2 linked regions of the Arabidopsis thaliana genome follow. The protein of the gene in region 1 interacts with the protein of each later gene in a pairwise test. Each region holds a gene or a part of one and is shown on either strand. Other genes may lie near its edges. The genes, in order: RIP3 and SDR3.

Region 1 (5,131 bases):
GGAATTAATGTGATCATTCATTAATTCTTCGGTCTTGATGGTTGATACAACACTTGATGTTGCCAGTATCTGACTGTTGCTGACGGAAACTCTAGCTCCCAACCGTAACATTGTCGCCATTTCAGTTAACCTTTTTTAATCCAAACGAGTTCTTCCTAGCAAAAGAAGGTTCAGCGAGAAAGACATGTCACTAAACGAAGCATCCAACTAACCAAACAAAGAATTCTTTATCTTCGTCGAGAATGAAGGCAATATAATCCATTATATCAAACTTCTTCAAAACAGATACAACTGAATATTCTTGTGCAAACTCATATGTAGATGAACAAGTTGGATATCAGGACGGGCCTGTTTCAAGGGGAGACAAAAAAAAGTAATCAAATACCTTGTATATATATACATCATTCAAATTATATTAAAACTCAGGATCAAGCCAGTTAATTTCACAGCATAAATGCTTTAGCAACAAAGTGGTTAGTTTCACAGACATTTTATCGAGCAGGTGGTGTGCACAATGTAAAACAAAGAAAAACAGAAACCTTTGACGTAAGATTTTGATTATTTTTCCGACAATGTCTGAGTAAATGAGAATGGTGGAATCTGGCTCCAATTTCAATGATTCAAATTGAGGGACAAGGACGAAGAAAGAACCGCGTTATGGTTTTAGACTTTTTAGTGGTGTGGTGAAATTTACGTCGAGTTTTGAACGATACATATGGATACGAGTTACGGTTTCAAGTATGGTTCAACCGACGCGAATTAGATCGAACCGAAAATTTGATCGAAAAATGAAATCGTTGTCCGCCAGAACCGGATAAAACCGGAAATTGGGAGGCGGATGAAATTAGTTTTTGACTTTTTGTACATAACCAACCCATCATCAGTCGATCACTCACTCTCGGTCACTGAAAATTAAAAAAAGAAACAACACTAGCTAATTTCAAAATGTTTTATGATCAATGGTTTATAATAATTTCTAACATTTTTGCATAATCATCATCGCATGGTGGTGTTTAATTATTTAATTACTAGCCAGACAGTGTAGTGAATTTATTGTTGAAATACTTTCTTTTTATTCGTCAAAAGAAAAATTTGATTAGTAGTTCAGAAGTCACTAGTTAATACTCTAATAATCTAGTACTAGTGAATATAATGTTTTTACAAACCATTAATGTAATCAAGCTAATCGATCGTTAGCATAAATTTCAACGATATTTTCTCCCAATTTTTGTTTTCCGCCCAAATATATAGTTAAAGTTGTGTGGAAATAATATGTTAAGTAAATTAGCAAGCGTGTATGATAAATGAAGATAGTGATGATTGATTTTGCATTGTTTCTTTTAGGAGATGTGTATGTCGTATTTATCATGCATCGGTTTTCTATGAGGTGGTGTGAAAGTGAAACGTTACATGCTTCAATATATAGCACTTTCAAATGTATGTAGATTGAACACGGAAGGTTAATGTGTTTTTGTGAAAAATTGTGACAATTTTATGAAAATTTTCCATTTATAAAGTATATAGATATGCTAGGTTAGTGTCCTTTGTGTGTGAGTGACTTATGGTTGCGTGACCGTTCGTTGTTCATAAGTAGCAATATGAGGCCAAACAATAGCACGTGACTCGGGCGCGTCTACAAGGCGCGTAGTTAAAAAAACGCCCCCTCCACGTTCTTCTACTTTCGGTCCATTCTATCAATTAATTTCAAAATAGCCCCTGATATTTATTGATCTATTTCATTACCAACCCCACAAGTTTTTTTGATTATCCAAAATTTTAATTTTAATTTTTCGGAATAACCAAAAGGAATCCAACGTAAAAGGATTATAAAAATAACTAAGTACTGAAAATTGAGGTGGAAACAGCACAATCATTACTTCAGGGGTTACTTTTGATAAATATTGCAGTTTAGTTGAAAATAAATGTTTCTTCAGTGGGAAAAAACGACTCGCGAGTCCAGTGAGAAAAAAAGAATAACAATCCGACGAGAAAGAGGAAAGATCAAATCATCTAAGTGCTGGTGCCTTGATTCTGCAGTTCTCCATTTTAATCCAACAAAAAAAGAAGCTGAATCGACGGTATAGGTGAATACTTCTTCACGACTTTTTCAAACACTCAGAAACTTCTCTTCCTTTCACATTGATTTATTCCTAATTTTAGTGCGATTTTTTCCTTTTTTTTCTCAGAAGTTTATCAATCTTGTTAGGTAGATATTTACTACTAGTTTGTTTTTTCTACTAATTTGCTGAAGAAAGTGTTAATCTTTGGTTGGTTTAAGGTATAAATTTGCTTACATCTACTCAAATCAGCTAACTTTTATTTTGGTTTGGTAGCTTAAAGATTCAGTCAAAAAAAACTTTAATCTTTGTTTTCCTGCAAAAAGCAAAAGTGTTTCTGTAATAAAACACCTTTTTGCAGAGAATGTTAAAAGATTCTCTAGTTTTAGGCTTTATGTAAAAACGATTTTTTTGCTGGGTGTTCTGTTTTTGGATCTGTGTTTCTTTTTTGGGAAGATCCACCCAATGAAACCAAATCTCACATTACAAAATGACAAGAAATTGTCTCTTCTTCCCAATAATTCCAAAACTTTGATTTAGTAAAAAATAAAATAAAATAACTGGGTGACTTAACAACCAGAAAGATTATGTGTAAGATATTGGTGCTTTCTTTGCTTGTAATAGGGTTTATCTTTGGTGATTTGATGAATCACATTGACGGCAACTTCTTTTCTAATTACACTTCTAAATATTTTATATATTTGGAATTGTTCCAAATCATTACAATATTCATTTGTTGTCTCTTTGCTTTCGTTTGGTGGTAATAGGAGTCTCTTTGAAGCTAAATGTGTAAATATTATTCTTATGTTTTTTTCGTACACTTGCTTAAGCTTTCTTTCTTCCCTGAGTTTGGTTGTCTATATGCTTATGATAAGTTTTTTTTTTCCCTCTGTTGCTTCTTTCTCACACTTTCCATTGGTCTTCATGTACTATTTGTCAGATTCTTCAAAGAAGCAATCATAACGCAATTGATTATATCCCCAAAAGAAAAGGTTTTTAAACTCCAAAAATGCAGACTCCAAAATCAAGGTGATGATCACAACTCTAACTTTGTGTTCTTGTTGTGAATGTTGTTGGAGTTATTGATCTGTTTCAAAGTGATTGTGATTGTGTGTGATAGGCCAGGATCATTGGAGCTGCCACAAAAGAAGTCTCCTTTACCAGCTCCCAAAGTTGTTAGGAGACTCAAACCAAGCGGAGCAGAATCCGATCCAAAAACCAAGACAATATCGAAAACTCAAATCCCGAAAGTAGTAGCTGATCGTCGCTCTGCAAGAATCCCTCTCAATGAGGTACTTTTGCAGTTAAAAATTGTTGGTTTGGTTTGGTGTATGCAAGTTTTATATATGGTGATTCTTGATTATGTTCTTTTCAAGATTCAGAAGAAGCGGACGGGAAGGATACCGGAACTGGAATCTACGATATCTCAGCTTCAAGAAGAGCTTAAGAAGGCAAAAGAAGAGCTAAACAGATCAGAAGCATTGAAAAGAGAAGCTCAAGAAGAAGCTGAAGATGCCAAGCATCAGTTAATGGATATCAATGCCTCGGAAGATTCAAGAATTGAGGAGCTGCGTAAACTCTCGCAGGAGCGAGACAAGACATGGCAGTCTGAACTTGAAGCTATGCAGAGACAACACGGAATGGATTCTACCGCTCTGTCTTCTGCCATTAACGAAGTTCAGAAACTGAAATCGAAGCTCTTTGAGTCCGAGTCTGAGTTAGAGCAGTCTAAGTATGAGGTAAGGTCTTTAGAGAAACTCGTCAGACAGCTCGAGGAAGAAAGAGTAAACAGTAGAGACTCTTCATCATCAATGGAAGTGGAAGAGCTGAAAGAAGCAATGAATCTTTCAAGGCAAGAGATAACACAATTGAAATCTGCAGTTGAAGCAGCAGAGACAAGGTATCAAGAAGAGTATATACAGAGCACATTGCAGATAAGAAGCGCATACGAACAAACAGAGGCGGTTAAATCAAGATATTCACAGAGAGAAGCAGAGTTAACGGAAGAATTGAACAGAACCAAAGATGAAATCGAAGGTTTGCGCAAAGAGTTAATGGAGAAGGTGAAAGAAGACGAATCTACGGGCGATTTGAAGAAGCTAGAATCGGATTTGATGGAAGTGAGAGGGAGTTTAATGGATAAAGAGATGGAGTTGCAGATTCTAAGGAGTGCAATGGAGAAGAAAGTGGAAACCGCAAACACGGAAGCCATGGAAGCTGAGCTTAAAAGAGTGAAGATTCAATGTGAGCAATGGAGGAAAGCTGCTGAGACGGCAGCTTCTATACTGAACAATGATGAGGAAAGAACAGATTCTATTGAGACTAGCAAAATGTTGAAGAAGTTTGGTGTGTTACTCAAGAAAAACCATAAGTAATAATAATACTGATTCTTTTTACTTGATTTAATAAAAATGGCATTATTGTTGTATGTAAATTTATAAAATTTCGATTTGTCTAAGTTTAATTTTTTTGTTGAAACGTTGCCACATTTGTTGATGAAATTTGTATTGTGAAATGTTGTTTGAATTCAATACTTGAAAAATTATACCTTACTTGTCTGAGTGTGAGCTGCTAGTAGCAAATTTAGTTTGGTCCTGTACATTGGTTTACACTTTACATGTATAGAAGAGTCAAGAGTGTAAAGTAAAAGTTTGTAATAGAATGTGAAACTCTAATTAAGAAGCCACATGAATACCTCTCAAGTCTTGGATCTTCCTTTTGACATTTTCTTCTGTCTATTTTCCTTTTTGTTGCGCACTAAACGCTGAGACGGCCCACTAGATTGTCTTTGGTAATGACAACCAAATCCACTTCATGAAAACATTTGACTTTTTTTTTTTTGGCAGAGACTAACCCATTCTACCTAGTTTTTAGATATCAGTGACAATAATTAATTAACTACTAGAAAATGTCCCACGCGATGCGTGGGTGAAATGAATGTAGTGAAATATATGTCTATAACTAATATATATTAATATAATATTAATTATTTTATAATACATTCAATAAAAAATATCATAAATATTGTGATTATGATATTTTAGTTTTAAACTAAACATTTAGTTTATGAATTA
Region 2 (3,806 bases), on another chromosome or scaffold:
GAAGCAGACGGAGGAGTATTGCGAAGCCAGAGGGATTTTTAAAGGTGTTGTGTTAAAGGCTCGACACGTGGCAGAAGCTGCTCTGTTTCTCGCTTCGGATGATTCGGTTTATATCAGTGGTCAGAATTTAGCAGTGGACGGTGGTTTTTGCGTCGTTAAGCCTATTTGAAACTAAATAAATAAATAAAATCGGTTATTTACTTATTAAAGTGTGTATATTTTTTTCAACCAAATAAAAACATTATTATATAGGAACAAGTGTCACTATTATGGTGCATAATTCAGAGGTCAAACCAATTCTTGAGCCATTAAAAAAGTAAAACTCACATGGCACGATAGAGTTGACTTTTAAGATACATATACCCCCATGTATAAATATCCACACATAGCTCTCTCGTAGCTCTATCCTTCAAATTTTCATAACGTCTCAACAATGTCTGGAAAAAGGCAATTTCCTCATCTGATTTTGTAACCTTTCTGCTCAACTTTATACCCATATACATAAATGTGTGTTTCTAATGATTTGTTTTTTTTTTCCAGATTGGATGGCAAAATCGTAATTATTACTGGCGGAGCAAGCGGGATTGGGGCTGAGTCCGTTCGATTATTTACCGAACACGGCGCTCGAGTCGTGATCGTTGATGTACAGGATGAGCTCGGTCAAAACGTTGCAGTTTCGATCGGTGAAGACAAAGCGAGTTACTATCATTGCGATGTCACGAACGAGACGGAAGTTGAAAACGCCGTTAAGTTCACCGTCGAAAAATATGGGAAGCTTGACGTTCTGTTTAGTAACGCCGGCGTAATAGAGCCGTTTGTGAGCATCCTCGACTTAAACCTCAACGAGTTAGACCGAACGATCGCCATTAACCTCCGCGGCACAGCCGCATTCATCAAGCATGCTGCACGTGCCATGGTGGAGAAAGGCATCCGCGGCTCCATCGTTTGCACCACTAGCGTCGCGGCTGAGATCGCTGGCACGGCACCACACGGGTAAAAACTAATATTCACAACAAAGACTTTTTAATTCTTTAGACAAACCAAAAGTGCACTAACTAATTTCGTTTTCAAAACCATGTAATAATAAATAGTGGATCGCTGCAACGGAGTATTATAATTAAAAGAATAACAAAGTGATCATGTTGTCACGATTTATTGACAATAATTTTTTATCGTTAAAATTCAAAATAGAATGAATTGCTTACTAATAATATAGGTACACGACGTCGAAGCATGGGCTGTTGGGTTTGATCAAATCGGCTTCTGGTGGATTAGGAAAATATGGTATAAGAGTAAACGGCGTTGCTCCATTTGGTGTCGCAACACCGTTAGTTTGTAATGGTTTCAAGATGGAACCAAACGTGGTGGAGCAGAACACGTCAGCTTCGGCGAATCTAAAGGGCATTGTATTGAAAGCTCGTCACGTGGCAGAAGCTGCTCTGTTTTTAGCGTCCGATGAGTCGGCTTACGTTAGCGGACAGAACCTGGCTGTTGACGGTGGTTACTCGGTGGTGAAGCCGTAGCTATAACAACTTGGCCACAAAGATCCCATGATGGAATATTGGAATTTTGTTTTTTTGGTCAAAAGTTGACTTGACTTAATTGTTGTAGAGGCATGGGGATTGAGAAGTTTCTGAGGTTGCAAATTTCCTTGAAATGTGGATGTTGTATTTTTATATGGTAACATTCATTATCCAACATATTGCACATCTCGAGGATAATTTATTTAAACAAATACTACAAGCTTATTTGATAAATCGTCTTTCTAGTCTCTCTATTTTGACTATGGGTTTTGAATTTTGATATTTCAGTGAAGAATCCTAACCATTTAGTACTAATTTACACGTTATAGTTTCAAAATAATTGATTAAAAAACAAAATAGGAAAAAAAAAATTGATTAATATAAAGTCTACGATAAATACAGAGAACGGAGCATATCTAGTCGCTCTTTCAGGTCTACTTGACTTATAATTAATCTGTCTCTCTGTCTACTTTTGAAATCCTTCAAAAATGTCGGGACTCAGGCAAGTGTGACTCCAAAGCATTTTTATTATATGTTTACTGATTTGTTTAATTTACGTGTACGTTTATATTCTATACCGCAGATTGGATGGCAAAATCGCAATAATAACAGGCGGAGCTAGCGGGATTGGAGCCGAAGCGGTTAGGCTGTTCACGGACCACGGAGCTAAGGTGGTCATCGTTGACTTTCAAGAAGAACTTGGTCAAAACGTTGCCGTTTCTGTCGGGAAAGACAAAGCAAGTTTTTACCGTTGCGATGTTACAAACGAAAAGGAGGTAGAAAACGCCGTTAAGTTCACCGTCGAAAAGTACGGGAAGCTTGACGTTCTCTTTAGTAACGCCGGCGTTATGGAACAGCCGGGAAGCTTTCTCGACTTGAATCTGGAACAGTTTGACCGAACCATGGCGGTCAACGTTCGTGGTGCGGCTGCGTTTATCAAACACGCTGCACGAGCCATGGTGGAGAAAGGCACGCGTGGGTCAATCGTATGTACGACCAGCGTCGCGTCGGAGATCGGTGGTCCAGGACCTCACGCGTACACGGCGTCTAAGCACGCTCTTCTCGGGCTGGTTAAATCGGCTTGTGGCGGGCTAGGGAAGTACGGGATTAGAGTCAACGGCGTTGCACCATACGCGGTGGCGACGGCGATAAATAGCCGTGACGAGGAAACGGTGAGGATGGTGGAGGAATATAGCGCAGCCACGGGGATTCTCAAAGGTGTGGTGCTTAAGGCTCGCCATGTGGCAGAGGCGGCTTTGTTTCTGGCTTCGGATGATTCGGCTTACGTTAGCGGTCAGAATCTGGCTGTTGACGGGGGTTATAGCGTCGTTAAGCCCATTTGAAGGAGAGAATATTCTATAAATCAACACTTATTAACGCCTTAATATTTTACTTTCAACGAGCTTTTCACGCCATTATCTTTTTTTTTTTTTTTTTGGGTCAAATCACACCATGGAATAATCGCCTATAACGTTACGTAAGCAATTACGTATGTACTATAGTTAATTCGGATAAATAAGGGTAACGTTATTAATACTTACTATTAAAGTTTCTTTACTTGTAATTTACTGCAAAAAACAATTGTTGGCTTAATGGTTATTAATTACAAAGTATCAGTCCACAATCACATCAAAGAATTTGTCGGGACAAGAAACAGAAGAGTTGACGAAGAGAAGTCAAGAAGAAGAAGAGTCGTCGAAAAAGAAAAGTCAAAAAGACACACAAATATCTTGGGCTTGGCTTCATCACCAAATAAAGAAAAAGCCGACAAAAGTCCAGAGGCCCATTAACAGCTCAAGCCCAAGATCAGATTCAAAAACACAAACAAAGATTTCAGAAACTCAATCAAAAACTTCCTCCTGTACAAATTACAATGCAACCGTTATCAAGTTCTTTTTTTTCTTTGATCCTTAAATAATGATGATAAGATTGAAAGTCTCAGATCATGGTTGCATAACATTAGTCTATAAAAGGAAACATAAGATGTAATCAAAATCATAAAGTTGTCATCTTTACCGTTATCTTATCCTTTTCATTTTCTCTTCACAAAGAAGATAAAACTAGAAGTACTACCATCAAGTTGTACCAATTAGGCGTGGAGCCATGGAAAATATGCGTGTAAAAACATCGCAGATATGGATGGACATGTGTTGTTTCAATGGTAGACACAATTAGTTTTTTGAAAAAATGGCATTTGGAAATTGGGATGTCACTGTTGAGTAACTTTATATACCGGAAAACTTACTATTTTTTCCCAAACTCATCTAAATTATATCTAATTTA

Evidence for each region.
Region 2: the proteins of RIP3 (region 1) and SDR3 interact in a two-hybrid assay, tested with the Arabidopsis thaliana proteins (one large-scale study listed by BioGRID).

The regions. Positions count from the first base shown.
Region 1 is NC_003074.8:19,779,491-19,784,621, reverse strand, and holds RIP3 (ROP interactive partner 4), read left to right. Parts: upstream 1-1,920; 5' UTR 1,921-2,084; intron 2,085-2,391; exon of another isoform or gene 2,392-2,997; 5' UTR 2,998-3,066; coding exon 3,067-3,086; exon of another isoform or gene 3,087-3,124; coding exon of another isoform or gene 3,125-3,177; coding exon 3,178-4,432; 3' UTR 4,433-4,540; downstream 4,541-5,131. Other genes in the region: AT3G53360 (Tetratricopeptide repeat (TPR)-like superfamily protein), read right to left, coding at 1-120. UniProt on the Arabidopsis thaliana protein: ROP effector binding specifically activated ROPs and linking them to the microtubule cytoskeleton. Involved in ROP-regulated polar growth.
Region 2 is NC_003071.7:19,348,687-19,352,492, reverse strand, and holds SDR3 (NAD(P)-binding Rossmann-fold superfamily protein), read left to right. Parts: upstream 1-1,842; 5' UTR 1,843-2,011; coding exon 2,012-2,025; intron 2,026-2,106; coding exon 2,107-2,866; 3' UTR 2,867-3,145; downstream 3,146-3,806. Other genes in the region: AT2G47150 (NAD(P)-binding Rossmann-fold superfamily protein), read left to right, coding at 1-169; SDR5 (NAD(P)-binding Rossmann-fold superfamily protein), read left to right, coding at 434-447, 541-993, 1,217-1,523.